Sus scrofa: one gene and its partner. Each later gene encodes a partner of the first gene's protein in a complex. Links are inferred from orthologs where the notes say so. Each region holds a gene or a part of one and is shown in the gene's direction. Other genes may lie near its edges.

What was found.
Region 2: the proteins of PDHA1 (region 1) and PDHB are in contact, whole or in part, in a crystal structure (PDB 3EXE), measured with the Homo sapiens proteins. The link is inferred for Sus scrofa from reciprocal best matches to the Homo sapiens genes PDHA1 and PDHB. Residues at the interface, in NP_000275.1 of Homo sapiens: Ile87, Arg88, Gly89, Phe90, Glu137, Leu138, Thr139, Gly140, Gly148, Lys149, Gly150, Gly151, Met153, His154, Asn164, Gly165, Ile166, Val167, Gly197, Ala198, Asn200, Gln201, Gln203, Gly228, Met229, Gly230, Thr231, Arg235, Ala236, Asp296; in NP_000916.2 of Homo sapiens: Glu59, Gln62, Tyr63, Ala66, Asp84, Pro86, Ile87, Ser88, Glu89, Met111, Phe115, Gln118, Ala152, Gly153, Val154, Ala155, Ala156, Gln157, His158, Pro297, Val323, Arg324, Val325, Thr326, Gly327, Ala328, Asp329, Val330, Met332, Pro333.

What each region holds. Positions count from the first base shown.
Region 1 is NC_010461.5:15,696,752-15,704,747, forward strand, and holds the start of PDHA1 (pyruvate dehydrogenase E1 component subunit alpha, somatic form, mitochondrial), read left to right. Parts: upstream 1-3,172; 5' UTR 3,173-3,454; coding exon 3,455-3,511; intron 3,512-7,996. UniProt on the Homo sapiens protein: The pyruvate dehydrogenase complex catalyzes the overall conversion of pyruvate to acetyl-CoA and CO(2), and thereby links the glycolytic pathway to the tricarboxylic cycle.
Region 2 is NC_010455.5:40,163,123-40,171,022, reverse strand, and holds the start of PDHB (pyruvate dehydrogenase E1 component subunit beta, mitochondrial), read left to right. Parts: upstream 1-3,520; 5' UTR 3,521-3,578; coding exon 3,579-3,620; intron 3,621-3,705; coding exon 3,706-3,762; intron 3,763-5,327; coding exon 5,328-5,435; intron 5,436-5,525; coding exon 5,526-5,588; intron 5,589-5,694; coding exon 5,695-5,730; intron 5,731-6,158; coding exon 6,159-6,444; intron 6,445-6,830; coding exon 6,831-6,941; intron 6,942-7,285; coding exon 7,286-7,377; intron 7,378-7,900. UniProt on the Homo sapiens protein: The pyruvate dehydrogenase complex catalyzes the overall conversion of pyruvate to acetyl-CoA and CO(2), and thereby links the glycolytic pathway to the tricarboxylic cycle.

The sequences.
Region 1 (7,996 bases):
ACCGCATGGTTCCTAGTCGGATTCGTTCACCCCTGAGCCACGAAGGGAACTCCCCCAACTGACTCATTCTCCAAGAGCATCTAGAAGACGGAAGTTTCTGAAAGTTGCTTTACTAATGAGAAGAGCGAGGCACCAAGTGGTTCAAAGATTTGCACATGAAGCGAATTCTAGAAGAGGGCTTGTTGTGGGTCAGGTACTGTTCTGCGTACTTGACAAATATTAACCCGTATAAGCTGTATAACAGCCTGATGAGATGAATATTGTGATTCCACTTCTTTTAACGATGTGGCAGGCCAGGCACTGAGAGGTTAGGCAACTTGCCCCAGGTCACACAGCTAGTCAGTGGTCGAGCCAAGAGGATTAGAGACCAGATGGACGGATTCCAGAGTCCAGACACTGTGCTCCCCGTCTACGAGCCGGTTCTTAGGTTTCCCAAGGCTGCTTCTGTTGGGGGATCAGCCACAGTCATTTCAGGCCACGCTCCTCAACCGTGATCTGCATGCTGGAAGAATAAGGCCAAACTTAGAAGAACGTGCGATGTGATGCAATCTGTGGTCTAGTGAAAGCCAGCCCAGGGTGATTGCAACCTCGGGTGGAAGGAAAGCTTTGCCCCCTGCTCTGGTCAGGCCACACAAAATAGGTCAGAAGCAGTAGCGTGGAGTTCCCGTCATGGTGCAGTGGTTAACGAATCCGACTAGGAACCATGAGGTTGCGGATTCCGTCCCTGGCCTCGCTCAGGGAGTTAAGGATCTGGCATTGCCGTGAGCTGTGGTGTAGGTTGCAGACGTGGCTCGGATCCCGCGTTGCTGTGGCTCTGGTGTAGGCTGGTGGCTACAGCTCCGATTCAACCCCTGGCCTGGGAACCTCCATATGCTGCGGGAGCGGCCCAAGAAATAGCAAAAAGACAAAAAAAAAAAAAAAAGATTTAAAAAAAAACAAAAAAAACCAAATATGCTGTCATTATGTCTCCATGACTTATTTTATAAGGATGAAAACATTAATCAACGGTCAACCTAAGAAAGATATGGAAGGAGTTCCCGTCGTGGCGCAGCAGAAACGAATCCGACTAGGAACCATGAGGTTGAGGGTTCAGTTCCTGGCCTCGCTCAGTGGGTTAAAGATCTGGCGTTGCCGTGAGCCGTGGTGTAGGTTGCAGACACAGCTCGGATCCCACGTTGCTCTGGCTGTGGCGTAGGCCAGCAGCTGTAGCTCCGATTCAACCCCTAGCCTGGGAACCTCCATATGCTGCAGGTGTGGCCCTAAAAAGCAATAAATAAATAAATAAAAATAAAGATACGGCAAATTTTTATTTGAGCCAACCTGAGGCTCAAAACCTGGGAGACATCCTCTCAGAGCTGTGAGCACTGTTCTCAAAAGGTAAAGGGAGAGGAAGGCCAGTGCAGTGTGATTTTCGAGAGAGCGGATGTGCAGTCAAGCACCTATCTTGGTATAAGGTTACTGCTATTCACAAGGGGACACATATCTTAGTTAATGGTTTTACTGCTTTTCCAAGTATGGGAAAATGCAAGAAACTGGATTCATCAAATTTTCTCCTGAAAATATCTGTCCGAGGGCTAGTTCTGCCAGTTTTCCCAGAGCACAAAATGCTTCACCCTGATCTTAATCCTGAAATCCTCTTCAGGTGTATTTTAGGTCAGTGACTGCAGTGGCTAATGACTTGATTCTTGTAGAACTGCATGCTGGGCAACATTTTTTGTTTTACAACCCCCCCCCATTTTGATCTTATTTTTGACGAAGATTTGGGAAGCATTTCATGACCCACTTGGCCCACACCACTAGAAATGCTCATTCCCAGGTCAGGGGAGGATTTCCTTGCTAGGACCCTCCATGTGCTCTTATGGGACTAAGCCCTGCTAACAGTAGCCCAAAGCCTCAGGACCACCTGTCATACCAGTCTGTTAGGATCCAGGAAATGGTTCCTTCTTGTTGCTTCTTTCCATATCTAGGGTTACACTATGACCAACATTGATCTGGTAGAATTATATGTATCTTTGGTCCTTCGTTCCAAGTCAGCTAGTCATCTTACTTTTATCAGAGGCTCAGTTGCCCATTTGGTAATGCAAGAAACAGTAGTCTTGTAAAACAGGCAGGATACAAGGAGTATAGCTAGAGACATTAATAAGGTCGTAAGTATTTAAGCGAAGAAATTCCATTCATTGCAGCCCTGTATCTCCCTAGGTCTTGTGACTCAGTCTGTTCTGTACCAGTCGCTATCTTTAAGGGAAATGATACATTGGCATTTGTGCATAAAGTTCACCAAAGATGTCTGCACATACGAGGTGAGTGGAGGGCAATCACGACGATTTACAGGATTGAGCAAGGAATGTTATCTTCAAAGGAGTTACATGGCTGGCTCTAGAAGAAGAAAAATTGAGCTTTATGGCTGAGGAGGTATTTCTGCCATTGGGGAGGTGAGCTTAATGAATAATGTAGATGAACAATGCACACCAGAAAGGGGGGGTGTGTGTGGAGAAGGCCCAAACAGACAGAGAAAACATTTTTGTTTAAATATTTCTTGTCTTGGAGGCCCGGTCATGGCTCAGCAAGAACGAATCCGAGTAGTATCCGTGAGGACACGGGTTTGATCCCAGGCCTCAGTCAGTGGGTTAAGGATTCCGCATTGTCATGAGCTGTAGTGTAGGTTGCAGATGTGGTTTGGGTCCCTTCGCTGTGGCTGTGACGTAGGCCGGCAGCTGCAGCTCCAATTCGACCCCTAGCCTGGGAACCTCCATATGCCACAGGTGTGGACCTAAAAAGACAAAAAAAAAAAGAAAAAGAAAAAATTCTTGCCTTGCTTTAAAATAATAATTTTATTTCATCAGATCCTAGCTCAAGTAGGCAGGGAAGCCTTTTACAACTGTTATGTAACTTCTTAGAGACAAGTTGGCAGCAGAACCATTTATAAAAACCATATGTTCTGTCCTTTGGCCCCATCAGGCTATTAATCTTTATCATCCAGTGTATTGAGCAGAGGCTGCAAAGGTGCAGTACTGGCAAGACTAGTCGCTGGGTAGTATTGCCCTTGAACGATCTCCAGAGGAGCACGGCTCAGCTGTGGCGCCCAATCTAACAGGGTCCATTCCCGAGTGGCCCTGGAGGCGTGGCCTCGCTTTCCCACGCAGGCGTCCTCAGGTCTCCCGCCCCTCACCCGTGTGGTGACGGAGGCAGCCCTCAGCCCAGCTCTCTGGCTCCGACACCCAATGGGCGGCCGTGGGCCTCTCGGGTGGGCGGGGCACGCCCTGAGAGCAATCCTGGTTGGCCCGTGGCCCGGTGCGGCGCATGACGTCTTCCGTCGCGTCGCGTCGCGTCGCGTTCCGTAGCGCCGCCGTTAGGTCTTAGCGTCCTCCCCGGGCGCCTGAAGGAGACTTGGAGACTTCTGGGCCTCGCTGCTTGAGCGGTTGGGAGTCGCCGCTGCTGCCACTGCCCGCACTCCATGAGGAAGATGCTCGCCGCCGTCTCCCGCGTGTTGTCGGGCGTCGCCCAGAAGCCGGTGAGTCGGCCTGAGCGGCCCGTGGCAGGGAAAGAGCGGGACCGAGGCGGGGCCCGACGCCGGAGGACGCCAAAGGGCAGGGCAAGCGGGCTAGGCGGGCGGGTCGGGCCGGGCGCAGCGGTCTTCGGGGAGCCGCAGGCCTTTGTTCTGCTTCCACGTTGTGTGCTGCACTCCTGGCCGCGAGCGGAGCGGCGACTCGGCCAAGCGGCGCCGCCTGTTGGAGGGGGAGCTTTACAAGGTCCACGTGGAGGTCAGCAGTGGTTCCCCGTGCCGGGCTTGTTGATGCGGCCCCAAAATGCCCGCCCCCCGCCCCCCAAAAGAAGCAAAAGTGCCCGTTCCTTTACTGTAGACAGAAAAGGGGGCCTTGGGCTTCCTCGAGTTGGCTGCCTCTTCCTGGCCGGTTCATTAAAATTTTTCCTTAGTTCCTCTTGACCAGGAATCCGGAGACTGACTCCGTTCAGACGCCAGCCTCACTCTTTACTAGCCCTGTGGTCTTGGGCAAGAGTTTTTTGGTTTTGCTTTTTTTCTTAAAACAGCCCGGTGCTCAATTTCCTCATTTCTGAAATGGAGAGTACTTACTCCATGGGGTTGTCGTGAGGCTTAAAGGAGTGACAAGTATGTAAACCTTTCCGGTAGCGCCTGGTACATGGTAGGTGCCGTCAGTATTAAATATTGTTATTATTTGAGTTCCCAATTTGGTATACATTTGTTGAACGCCAGCGCTCGGCTCTGTGGAGTGTTGATGCAGGGTTGGGTTCCAGAGAAACAACACACTTGGTACTCTTTCCTCCCCTCTGCCTCAACGGTGAGCTTTTCCTAGGCAGTCGATTCAAAAGCCGTCAGGCAGAACCCAGAGGGAGGCCCTCCACTTGCACACAGATGCGGAGACACTCTCATTTAGGATAGAAGTAGCTAAAGTGGTGTTTGGGAGGATGGGGTTAGAGGTTAGCGCTATTTATGGCTCCAACTTTTAGACATTCCTAGCCGAAGTTCAGAGCATTTTGACCTCTAAGCACGGGATGGGTGGTAATGTGACTTGGTATCACTGCAGCCAAGTTTTGACTTGCAGTTCTTGCTCCAGTAACTCCCAAGACTGGCAGCTCAGCTTGGTATAGGGCAGAGATCATCGAACGGTTGGAGGAAGTGTACTTCTCTAGGACTGCCATTGATTGACAAACACAGAATGCCATGTGATTAATCTGTATTAGCATTTAGGTTGTGATTGGATCTCCCTGAAAAACAAGCACATTTCACCGTTGTTTTTGGTCTTTTTGCCATTTCTAGGGCCGCTCCTGCGGCATATGGAGGTTCCCAGGCTAGGGGTCGAATCAGAGCCGTAGCCACCTGCCTACTCCAGAGCCACAGGAACTCGGGATCCGAGCGCGTCTGCGACCTACACCACAGCTCACGGCAACACTGGATCCTTAACCCACTGAGCATGGCCAGGGGTTGAACCCGCAACCTCATGGTTCCTAGTCAGATTCGTTAACCACTGAGCCACGACAGGAGCTCTAGTTTTTGTATTTATTTTTTATTTCTATGTACACAAAAGATAAATCCAGCATTTATTGTGCCCTTAATGTGTGCCAGGCACGTGACTATTTAATGTCCAAAACATCAGTTTTTAGTTGAATGTAGGTAATAGAAATATGTTTTCAACATCATACAGGGCCTTAGTTCGGTGTGATTACAGTAGAACTTCGTTTGAATTGATGGCGTTCTACAGACAAGGAAAATTTGTGAGTTTTCAAATTACTATCCCCTGTGTCCCTATGAACAGCGAAAAGTCAATATTTAAAATCAGAGTTTCATTCCCTTAGCTGTCCAAAATACTCCTGCTTGTGGGTTGTTGTCTTCCTGCAATGTGTTGGCATCAAAGGCAGATTGCACTTGGTGTTCCACCTCAGTAAAACTTGGGCCTTCTCAAAAATCATACAATACATCTCAAGTCAAATAGAAACGAGAGTTGGGTAACAGTGATCTGTTAAAAATGGAATATGGGAGTTCCTGTGGCCCAGTGGGTTAAGAACCTGACTAGTATCCATGAGGATGCAGGTTCGATTCCTGGCATTACTCAGTGGGTTAAAGGATCTAGTGTTGCCACAAGCTGTGGTGTAGGTTGCAGATGCGGCTTGGATCTGGTGTTGCTATGGCTGTGGTGTAGGCCGGCAGTTGCAGCCCCACTTCGACCCATAGCCTGGGAACTTCCATATGCTGCAGATGTGGCTCCAAAAGGACCAAAAATGAAATATAACTTTATTTAGTCAAAAATTCTTAAGAGATAAGATTATTATGGCAGAAATGGATTCCTGTGCAGAACAATTTATTTAATTAAAAACATTCTTTACTCTGTCTCTTTCTTCTTGTTTTCTTTTGTTCTACCCAATTATGTTGAGGGTTTCTTGCCCTTTTGGGAGGTTTAATAATTTCTTCTGCCGGTGTTCAGTAGATGTTTGGTGCGAATCATTCTACATGCAGAGGTGTTGTTTTGATGTGTTTGTGGGAGAAGGCGAGCCCAACCTCTTACTCCTCCACCATCCTGATCCTTCCCTAAAAGCATTTTTAATGAGGATGAGAGACTGAAGGAGTTACTGCTCCTTACCTTGAGCTGTCCTTCTTGTTAAGCTATTTTGCATGTTTTTTCTGCTGCCTGCATATGTGTGATTAATTGTACTAAGGCAGAAAGACAAATATTCTGAAGAATTCTGTATTAACCCTGTGTTGGTGGGCTGAAGCCCTATTTAATACTTCCCCTTCCCTGTAACAAAGCAAAACAGCTAATGAGTGTTTCTGTAAGTGGTCGGAAATTGTGAGATGTCTCCAGAGTGCTCAGTGTACTTTGGATTCTTGGGTTCAACATGCTCATTCATCTATCAGGTTTCAGGTGTGTTAACACAAGCTACTTAGTTCAAAGTGTTTTAGATTCATTATAGACTGACAGTTTCTTTCTAAAAAAACCTTTTTTATAGTTGATTTACAGTGTTGTGCCAGTTTCTTCTGTACAGCATAGTGACTCAGTTATACATATTTAATACTTTAAAAAAATAGTCTCGAGCCCTTTGTGGCTCAGCAGTAATGAACCTGACTAGTATCCATGAGAATTCAGGTTCAGTCCTGGTCTCGATCAGTTGTTTGAGGATCCGGCGTTGCTGTGAGCTGGGATGTAGGTTGCAGGTGTGGCTCAGATCCCTCCTTGCTGTGGCTGTGGTGTAGGCCGCCAGCTGTACCTCTGTTTGGACCCCTAGCCTGGGAACTTCCATATGCTGTGGGTGCGGCCCTAAAAAAAAATAAATACTCCTTTCCATCATAGTTTATCCCAGGAGACTGGATATAGTTCCCTGTGCTATACAGTAGGACCTGGTTGTTAATCCTTTCTAAATGTAAAAGTTAGCATCTCCTAGCCCCAAACCCCCACTCCCTCCCCCTTGGCAACAAGTCTTTTCTTTTTTCTCCATGTCTGTGAGTCTGTTTCTGTTCTGTAGATAGGTTCATCTGTGCCATATTTTAGATTCCACACATGTGACATCATATGGTATTTGTCTTTCTCCAACTTCACTTAGTATGATAATCTCTGGTTGCATTCATGTTGTTGTGAATGGCATTATTTTGTTCTTTTTCTGGCTGAGTAGTATTCTGTTGTATATATGTACCACATCTTTTTTATCCTTTAACTCACTGTGTGGGGGTGGTTAGGGATTGAACCTGAGCCTCCACAGCCACTTGAGCTACTGCAGTCAGATTCTTAACCCTCTGTGCCACGGCAGGAACTCACTCAAGCATTTTTCACTTCAGTTTACTCGAGGCTGGCAAGTGGAAGCCTTGGGACACTGTTCCACTCTTTCCTCCTTCCACCTGCCACCCTTCAGCCTATTCAGAACCTTTAGAAGCTGGATGCCAGCACATCCTACAGAAAGTTGAGTCTCTGAAATGAAAGCAGAGAGCTCAGTGTAACTTCAGGTACTTAAGTACCTGTGATGTCATCTTTGAAAGAAGTCAGAATTTTTCAAAGTGCTTATTTCACAGAAGAGTAAATTAACATTTAAAATTTTTATTCCTTATTTTACTGTTTGTATTTCCATTATGACCCGGCTTTGTGAGGTTTTTAACTGTCAGAGCTAACACATCTGTTTCGTGATTGCCAAACATAACCTTTTGTTTGTCACCTCACACCTCTCAACTTTATTTCCCAAATTGCTTAATATTTTTCACGTAACTGTAGATATATTAATGGACTCTTTCTCCTTCTGACTTAACTGAAGCATTTGTTTCTAGCGTATAAGCTTTTCCTCCAGCAATGTCATTGTCTTTGTGGACTTTATCAGATAACAGGTATATTGTTATCTGAAGGTGAAGGTGTGAATAGATAATAGTTTTCTGCCTGTGGGCTTGTATGTACACTTAGTAGATGGGCCTTAACCCTTCTCACCAGGATGAAGTCCAATGCTATGAGCTGGATGGTAAGGTAACATATCAGAAGTATGTTTT
Region 2 (7,900 bases), on another chromosome or scaffold:
AGTAACTTGAGGACAAATATTCCTGGAACTGTTTTTGAGGGTTATTGACTGAAAGTGCCCACCTTGGCCAGGCCCTGATAAGGAACAAGGTGCTGTCCTGAAGACTTGGAGAATTTGGGAGGGACCTGTAGGAGGGAGGAGACGACCAACCTCCCAGAATCCTTGGCACTGGAATCCATCTTAGCTGAGAGGTCCAAGCCACCAACAAAGACCCTGAGCCAGACCAAGTATGGGCCGAGCAACACAACTGGCCAGAAACAACCGGGAAACTAACCCCATTCGGATAAAACCAGAGACTGTGAGCCAAGTGGCAGAGCAGTTCTCCTGGGTTGCCTTACGCTGCTGCTCCCCACCCACCAACCGATGCCCCTTCCCATTAAGTCTTTTGCTTTATCAGCACGTGTGTCTCCTTGGATAGCTCATTTCCGAGTGTTAGACAAAGACCCCATTCTCGGACTCTGGAAGAGGTGCTCCTTCCTGCAACAGGACTTCGAAAAGATTTCATTCCAAGACAGAAGTGGCCTAATGGGTCAACTTGAACTTGCCAATCCCTTTCCTCTCACATCTAGTGAGCATATGGATGTAGATTGGCTTTGAAAAGATTATGGATTTAAAATTCAGCACTTTTGATCTTTTGTGTCTTTTCCTCTGAATCATAAAATTAAACCTAGCTTTTCAAAACTGGCCAATTTTAAAAGGAAGGCACATATACTAAGGAAGATACCTAATGGGTAGGAAATGTCCAGTCATTATTTCAAAGGGAAACTGCCATCTGAGACCAGCTGAGTCCTATGGACTCGCCATTGCCTTCCTGATTGAACCAGCCAGACTGGCTGCACAGACTGTATGTTCCCGGTTTTTGCGGATCTCTATGTACATATAGCCCAAGAATACTGCCCTTTGTCTAGACCACTGGCCAGAGTCTGGCTTCTCTTCAGGTGATTCACTGTTGCTTTACCTTTATGTCTCCTGTTGCTTTGTAACTTTATTTATTTACTTATTTTTGCTTTTTCTAGGGCCACACCTGCAGCATATGGAAGTTCCCAGGCTAGGGGTTGAATTGGAGCTGCAGCTGCTGGCCTACGCCAGAGCCACAGCCACGTCAGATCTGAGCCTCATCTACAATCCACACCACAACTCACAGCAACGCCGGATCCTTAACCCACCGAGTGAGACCAGGGATTGAAATCGCATCCTCATGGATGCTAGTTGGGTTTGTTACTGCTGGGCCAAGATGGGAACTCCTGTTGCTTTGTAATTTTAACCTTGAAATCTTTCAGTGCTGGATGGTGGGAGAGGAGGGAGAGCTGATGCACATTTTCATTCTAAGCAGAACACAGGAATCCCCGAGGGCTGATATCTCAAAAACAGGGGCTTCCCAGGGTTTGCTGTGAGTGGGAAGTGCTGGGGTTTTCGCCAAGTCTTTACCAACTAAAGAATGTCTCTTGCCATTGGGCTCTACAAGGACTGAGTCACTTATCATCAACACACCCTGAAAGGACTTCAGGACGGAGATCAGGAATCAGACACTCTGTGCTCTGAGAAAATTGGCAGAACAGGCCTTTAGGCAGTTACATATTTTTAGGCCAAAAAGATATGAACCCAATTTCTTGCACGTTACCATACTTAGACAAGCACTAAAATCCTTAACTAAAATACGTGTCTCCTGACTATCAGGCACCTTCCATCAAAATGTGTACTTGACTGCATACCCATCTCCCAAATGAGGTATGTGCTTACCTCTTCACAGCAGTTCCTCAGAGCCATCTGAGAGGCAGTCCCCTGGGGCGCAATCCTCAGTAAGTCCTCAAATAAAACTGAAACTCACAGCTCTCACATTGTGCACCTTTACTGCAGTCCACAGATTGAAGGGACTAGGGGACAGTGCTGAGGGAGACTTGGAAGGTCCTCACTGCATACTTGAGAGACAATCTCTCCACTTTACAGATGACAAATCAGAGGCCCAGAGATGAAAGCCCATCTGTATGCAGCTGCACCCAAATTTCTATCTCTGCTGCTACCTAGCTCCAGCCTCTAGCTCCAGGCTCCTATATCCAACCTGGTCTGACCCACTAACCTAAATACAGCGTATTCAGAATGAATTCTTACCTCCCACCTGCTCCCCATCTCCTCCCCTCCCCCATCCATTCAACAGCAACAAACTCCCCAAATCTTCCTCATTTTTTCCCCTTGCCTCAAGGCAACCTTATTGATTCTGGTCCTAAACAGATCTCAAACCTATTCTCTCCTCTTCACCTCAACCCTCCAGAGTCCAGTGCTCCCTCTGCCAAAGACTCTCAGGTCTCCCTGCTTTTGCTTGAATCCCCCTCCTCTCTTTCTCACTCAGCAACCAGACTCCTCCTCACCTGGTCACTTCCCTGCTGCGCTGGCTTCTGAGAGCCCTGAGATTAAACCCAGACTGGCAGCCTGCAGCCCTCAGAAGAGTTTTTGGAATGTCCTGGGCATGAGTAAGGACTGACAGAGTCCCCAGAGGTCCTATCTGACCACCGCCCACCCCTATCCCCACCACTGCATGCAGGGTCAAAAAGAGACCAATGAGAGGAAGCTTCCAAAGGCTTCCCTAATCAGGTATTTGACCCTATAAAACCCTCTAGGGAGTTCCCGTCGTGGCTCAGTGGTTAACGAATCCGACTAGGAACCATGATGTTGCAGGTTCGATCCCTGGCCTTGCTCAGTGGGTTAAGGGTCTGGCGTTGCCGGGAGCTGTAGGTAGGTTGCAGACGCAGCTCGGATCCTGTGTTGCTGTGGCTCTGGTGTCGGCTGGCGGCTACAGCTCTGATTGGACCCCTAGCCTGGGAACCTCCATATGTCCTGGGAGCGGCCCAAGAAATGGCAAAAAAACCCAAAACAAAACAAAACAAAAACCCTCTCTAAATGCAGGTTGTTGTAACGCAGACCCCAACTTCTGCTTCAGGAAGCAGTAATAAAAGACTACCCTTTAGAGTCAGGCAGTCCTAAATTCAAACCCTGACTGATTTAACCAATCCCTGCTTCAGTTTAACCATCTGCGAAATGGAGCTAATGCTATTAATTACCTGAGCGGGTTCTTGTGAGAAATAAGCCATAAAGCACAACACAACGCCTGGCACACGTGAAAGCTTTGGTTCACACTGTAAGAAATCAATAGACGGTGCTGTCCAAGAAGGAGTAGGCTCGCTTGTAAGATTGTAAATTTCCAGTCACCAGTTTGGCTTGGTGCCCAAAGGATTTCAGTGCCTGCGGAAGCCTGGCCTGACACATTCCTCAGCCTCGAGTTAGACCTTTGAGTATGACTTGGGGTCACTGCGCTCCAACAAGCAGGGACGTGCTCTCGGCGTGCACTGTGCGTGCCAGGAACCGCCCACCTTCAGCAAACTTGATCCGAGTGGGCATCAAGCCAAGCTGACGGACCACCCTCGCGCCTCCTCGGCCCCGCCCCTCGACCCTGACGCCATAGGGGGCGGGGCACGCAGGCGCCGTGCCCTGCCATTGGCCGGCACCGGCGGGGAAGAGCGGGCTTGACTCTTCTGCAGCCCCGCGGTGTTGTCATTTCTTGGCGACTAGAGGACACATTCAAAATGGCGGTAGTGGCTGGGCTGGTGCGGAGGCCCCTGGAGCAGGTAGGCAGCGGCTCACTGGCCCCAGGATCCTGCGCGATCCCTGCCATCCTGCGTCCCCTCTAAGCGTCCTTTTTCTCCCCGCAAGGTCTCCGGGCTGCTGCTGAGGAGGCGCTTCCACCGCACGGCGCCGGCGGCGCTGCAGGTAATTGGCCCAGACGCTAACCAGACAGGGAGGGGTCCCTCGTCCTGGGGCAGAGGCTGGGGTGGCATGTCAGCCGCGCAAGGCTCATTGAAATCAGATGGCCGATCTAATTAGACTCCATACTTCTTCTCTCACCCCCTTTAAAATGTACTTTTGTAGTAAAATACAAAATTTCCCATTTAAACTGTATGTTCAGCGGCACTAAGTAATTCACCATATTGTCCGTTCACTACCAGAATTTTATCATCCCAAACAAACTGTACCCATTAAACAATAACTCCTTATTTCCTCTTAGCCCCTGGTAACCTCTTTTGTACCTTCTGTGTATATGAGTATCTATTCTCACTACCTCCTGTAAGTGGTAAATAAAGATTTGTCCTTTATCTGGTTTATTTGTCCTTTTTCTGGTTTATTTCACCATGTTTTTAAGGTTCATCCATGTTGTAGAATGTCAGAATTTCCATCCTTTTTAAGGTTAATATTCCGTTGTGGGCATATACATTTTGTTTATCCATTCATCTTTAATGGACCTTTGGGTTGTTTCCACCTGTTGGATTTGTGAACAGTGCTGCTGTGAACATTGGTGTGCAAGTATCTGAGCCCCTGGTTTCAGTTCTTTTGAGTATAGCTAGAAGTGGAATTGTTGGATCATATGATAATTCTGTGTTCAACTTTTGAGGAATTTCCTTCTCTATCCTTTTTATGTTACTAGAAAATTCTACCAACCTGTGTGATAAAATAACTCTTAGATGCTGAAGGCAACACGTTTGGCAGTACCAGGCACTTAGTGAGTGCTCAATATGTAGTATAATTTAAGCTTACTTGACGTTCTCTGCCTCTACAATATACTACATGTGGAAATAAAACTACCTAGTATACTTTTTTTCTTTGTTTTTATAGCTGCAGCTGCAGCATATGGAAGTTCCTAGGCTAGGGGTCCAATCAGAGCTGCAGCTGCAGGCCTGTGCCACAGCCACAGCAGCACTGGATTCTAGCTGCATCTGTGACCTACACTGCAGCTTGTTGCAATGCCAGATCCTTAACCTACTGAGCAAGGCCAGGGATGGAACCCATATCCTCATGGACACCATGTCGGGTTCTTAATCCACTGAACAACAATGGGAATGCCGTAAGTCTACTTTGTACGTAGTAATCAATCCATCTATGAGCTTATCTGGCCAACAAGCAGATTTTTTTTTTTATAGGTAAGAAATAGATTTATTAAGATAGGATGCTTGTGAGAGGTACAAGTAGACGGGCAAAGAAGCACTGCCTGCAAGCAGATTTCTTAAGCCTAGGTGCATGTCAAGAAAAGTGTTTAATGTATTTCTCATTTACACATCCTATCAAAGACTGGCTGTGAGTGATAGAAATGTTACTTTTAGAATTCTTTGAACTTTTTTTTTGTCTTTTTAGATAGGATTCTTTGAACTTTTAAAGAGAAGCCTGTTCTAGTGATAGTTTTTATATTGTATGCTGTGGGCAGCCTAGGTAAAGGGAGAGAATCTCAATGGTATCCTAAGTAATCCTGTAGCTCATTGACTGCTTTCCCATACCTGTGACAGGTAACAGTTCGTGACGCTATAAATCAAGGTATGGATGAGGAGCTGGAAAGAGATGAGAAGGTATTTCTCCTTGGGGAAGAAGTTGCTCAGTATGATGGGGCATATAAGGTAACCAAGATACATGAAAGCTATACAGAATTGAGGTGGCCGTTTGCCCCCAGGACACTCAAAAGTAATGGGGTCGTTGCTTAATTGTAGGTTAGTCGAGGCCTGTGGAAGAAGTATGGAGATAAGAGGATCATAGACACTCCCATATCTGAGGTAAGCCTTTCATCAGGAAGCAGGCCTTTGAGGAGGCATGTCTATTAAAGTGTACACTCTAATAATTTTTGTGGATTTTTACTTATGTTTGTGTTTCACTTTATAGATGGGCTTTGCTGGAATTGCTGTAGGTGCGGCTATGGTATGTTGTCCTCTTTATGAATCTCATCCAAAGAGATTTCTTTTTTTATTTTTATTTATTTTTTTGTCTTTTTGCCATTTCTAGGGCTGTTCCTGCAGCATATGGAGGTTCCCAGGCTAGGGGTCTAATCGGAGCTGTAGCCACCGGCCTACGCCAGAGCCACAGCAATGCGGGATCCGAGCCGAGTCTGCGACCTACACCACAGCTCACGGCAACGCCGGATCGTTAACCCACTGAGCAAGGGAAGGGATTGAACCTGCAACCTCATCGTCCTAGTTGGATTCGTTAACCACTGAGCCACTATGGGAATTCCCAAAGAGATTTCTTTTAACGTGACCTTTTAAAAACATTATTTGAATGTTGGAGGAATAAAGTGGTTGCTACTCTTGTTTCTTGTCTTTTTAACAATCATGTTTTTGATTTGACAGGCTGGGTTGAGGCCCATTTGCGAATTTATGACCTTCAATTTCTCTATGCAAGCCATTGACCAGGTTATAAACTCAGCTGCCAAGACCTATTACATGTCGGGGGGCCTTCAGTCTGTGCCCATAGTCTTCAGGGGGCCCAATGGTGCCTCAGCAGGTGTAGCAGCCCAGCACTCACAGTGCTTTGCTGCCTGGTATGGGCACTGCCCAGGCTTAAAGGTGGTCAGCCCCTGGAGCTCAGAAGATGCGAAAGGACTTATTAAATCAGCCATTCGGGATAACAATCCAGGTCAGTAGAGTGACCCGTGGGTCACTTTTGAACATTAAAGAACTAAAATGAAATATCTGCATAGTAGGCACCATTGAAAACTTCTACTTAGGCTTAGACGTATCATATGAAATGTTAATGATTTACAGGCAAAGTAAAGATGGGGGAAAATGTGTTGTTTTTCTTATTTCTGACTTACAAGGGGCCAGTTAGGTAAAGGAGAAATATACTGCATGCTTACAACATTGGTTTATCCCCATAGGTAGGATTGACCAGTCTGCAGATGTCAGTACCTAAACCATCCCCAGGAGGTGATAGGCACAGGGCACATTTAAACTTCTCACAGAATGTGAATGACAGTGTTGTATTTGGTCATGCAGTTTTGTTTAAATATTTCTATTTTGCAGTGGTGGTGCTGGAGAATGAATTAATGTATGGAGTTCCTTTTGAACTTCCTGCAGAAGCTCAGTCAAAAGATTTTCTGATTCCTATTGGAAAAGCCAAAATAGAAAGGCAAGGTGAGAATAAGAACTTAGTATACATTTAAACATTACTTGTTATCTGTCTCCTCTATTTATATTGGTCAAATTCAGTCCAAAGTTACTGCTTTTTTACTTTGGGAAGTTTTAGCATGAGTTCAAGTTAAGAATGTGTCATGCCTTGATTGGGAATACATTTGTGCTCTTCTAGATCTCAGTCCAGTGGATTTGTATTTCATTTCTAAGGCTGCAACATTCCTTATCTCACTGGAGTAAAGTGGAGTTTAATATCTTATAAATGAACAATAGCCATAGCTGGCTACAAAGCAGGACTGTGTCTTTAGTTTCAACCTGACTTTTCATCTGTAACTGCTTTGTTTCAGGGACACACATAACGATAGTTTCCCATTCAAGACCTGTGGGCCACTGCTTAGAAGCTGCCACAGTGCTATCTAAAGAAGGAATTGAATGTGAGGTGAGTTACATGTGGGATGGATACGAAGGTGATAAAGTAAACACACCGGTTGCCTATAAAGTATTCATTCTTGGGAGCTGCCATCGTGGCCCAGTGGTTAACGAATCTGACTAGGAACCACGAGGTTGTAGGTTTGATCCCTGGTCTTGTTCAGTGAGTTAAGGATCCAGCGTTGCCGTGAGCTGTGGTGTAGGTCACAGACGTGGCTCAGATCTAGCGTTGCTGTGGCTGTGATGTAGGCTGGCAGCTACAGCTCCAATTAGACTTCTAGCCTGGGAACCTCCATATGCCTCCGGAGCAAAAATACAAAAAAAAAAAAAAATATATAATAAAAAACAATGTGAGGTGAGTGTTCTTAAAGAATTGGAAGGGTTCCTTTCAATTTAAGATCCAGAAAAAGGAGTTTGAGTTCTGTTACAGGTTAATTAGATATATAGATATAAAATCTTGCTTTGTCGCTTAGTTCTGCCTCTGCTTAAAGCTAAGAACCTACTTTTCAAATACCTAGCTTTTTACCACCTAG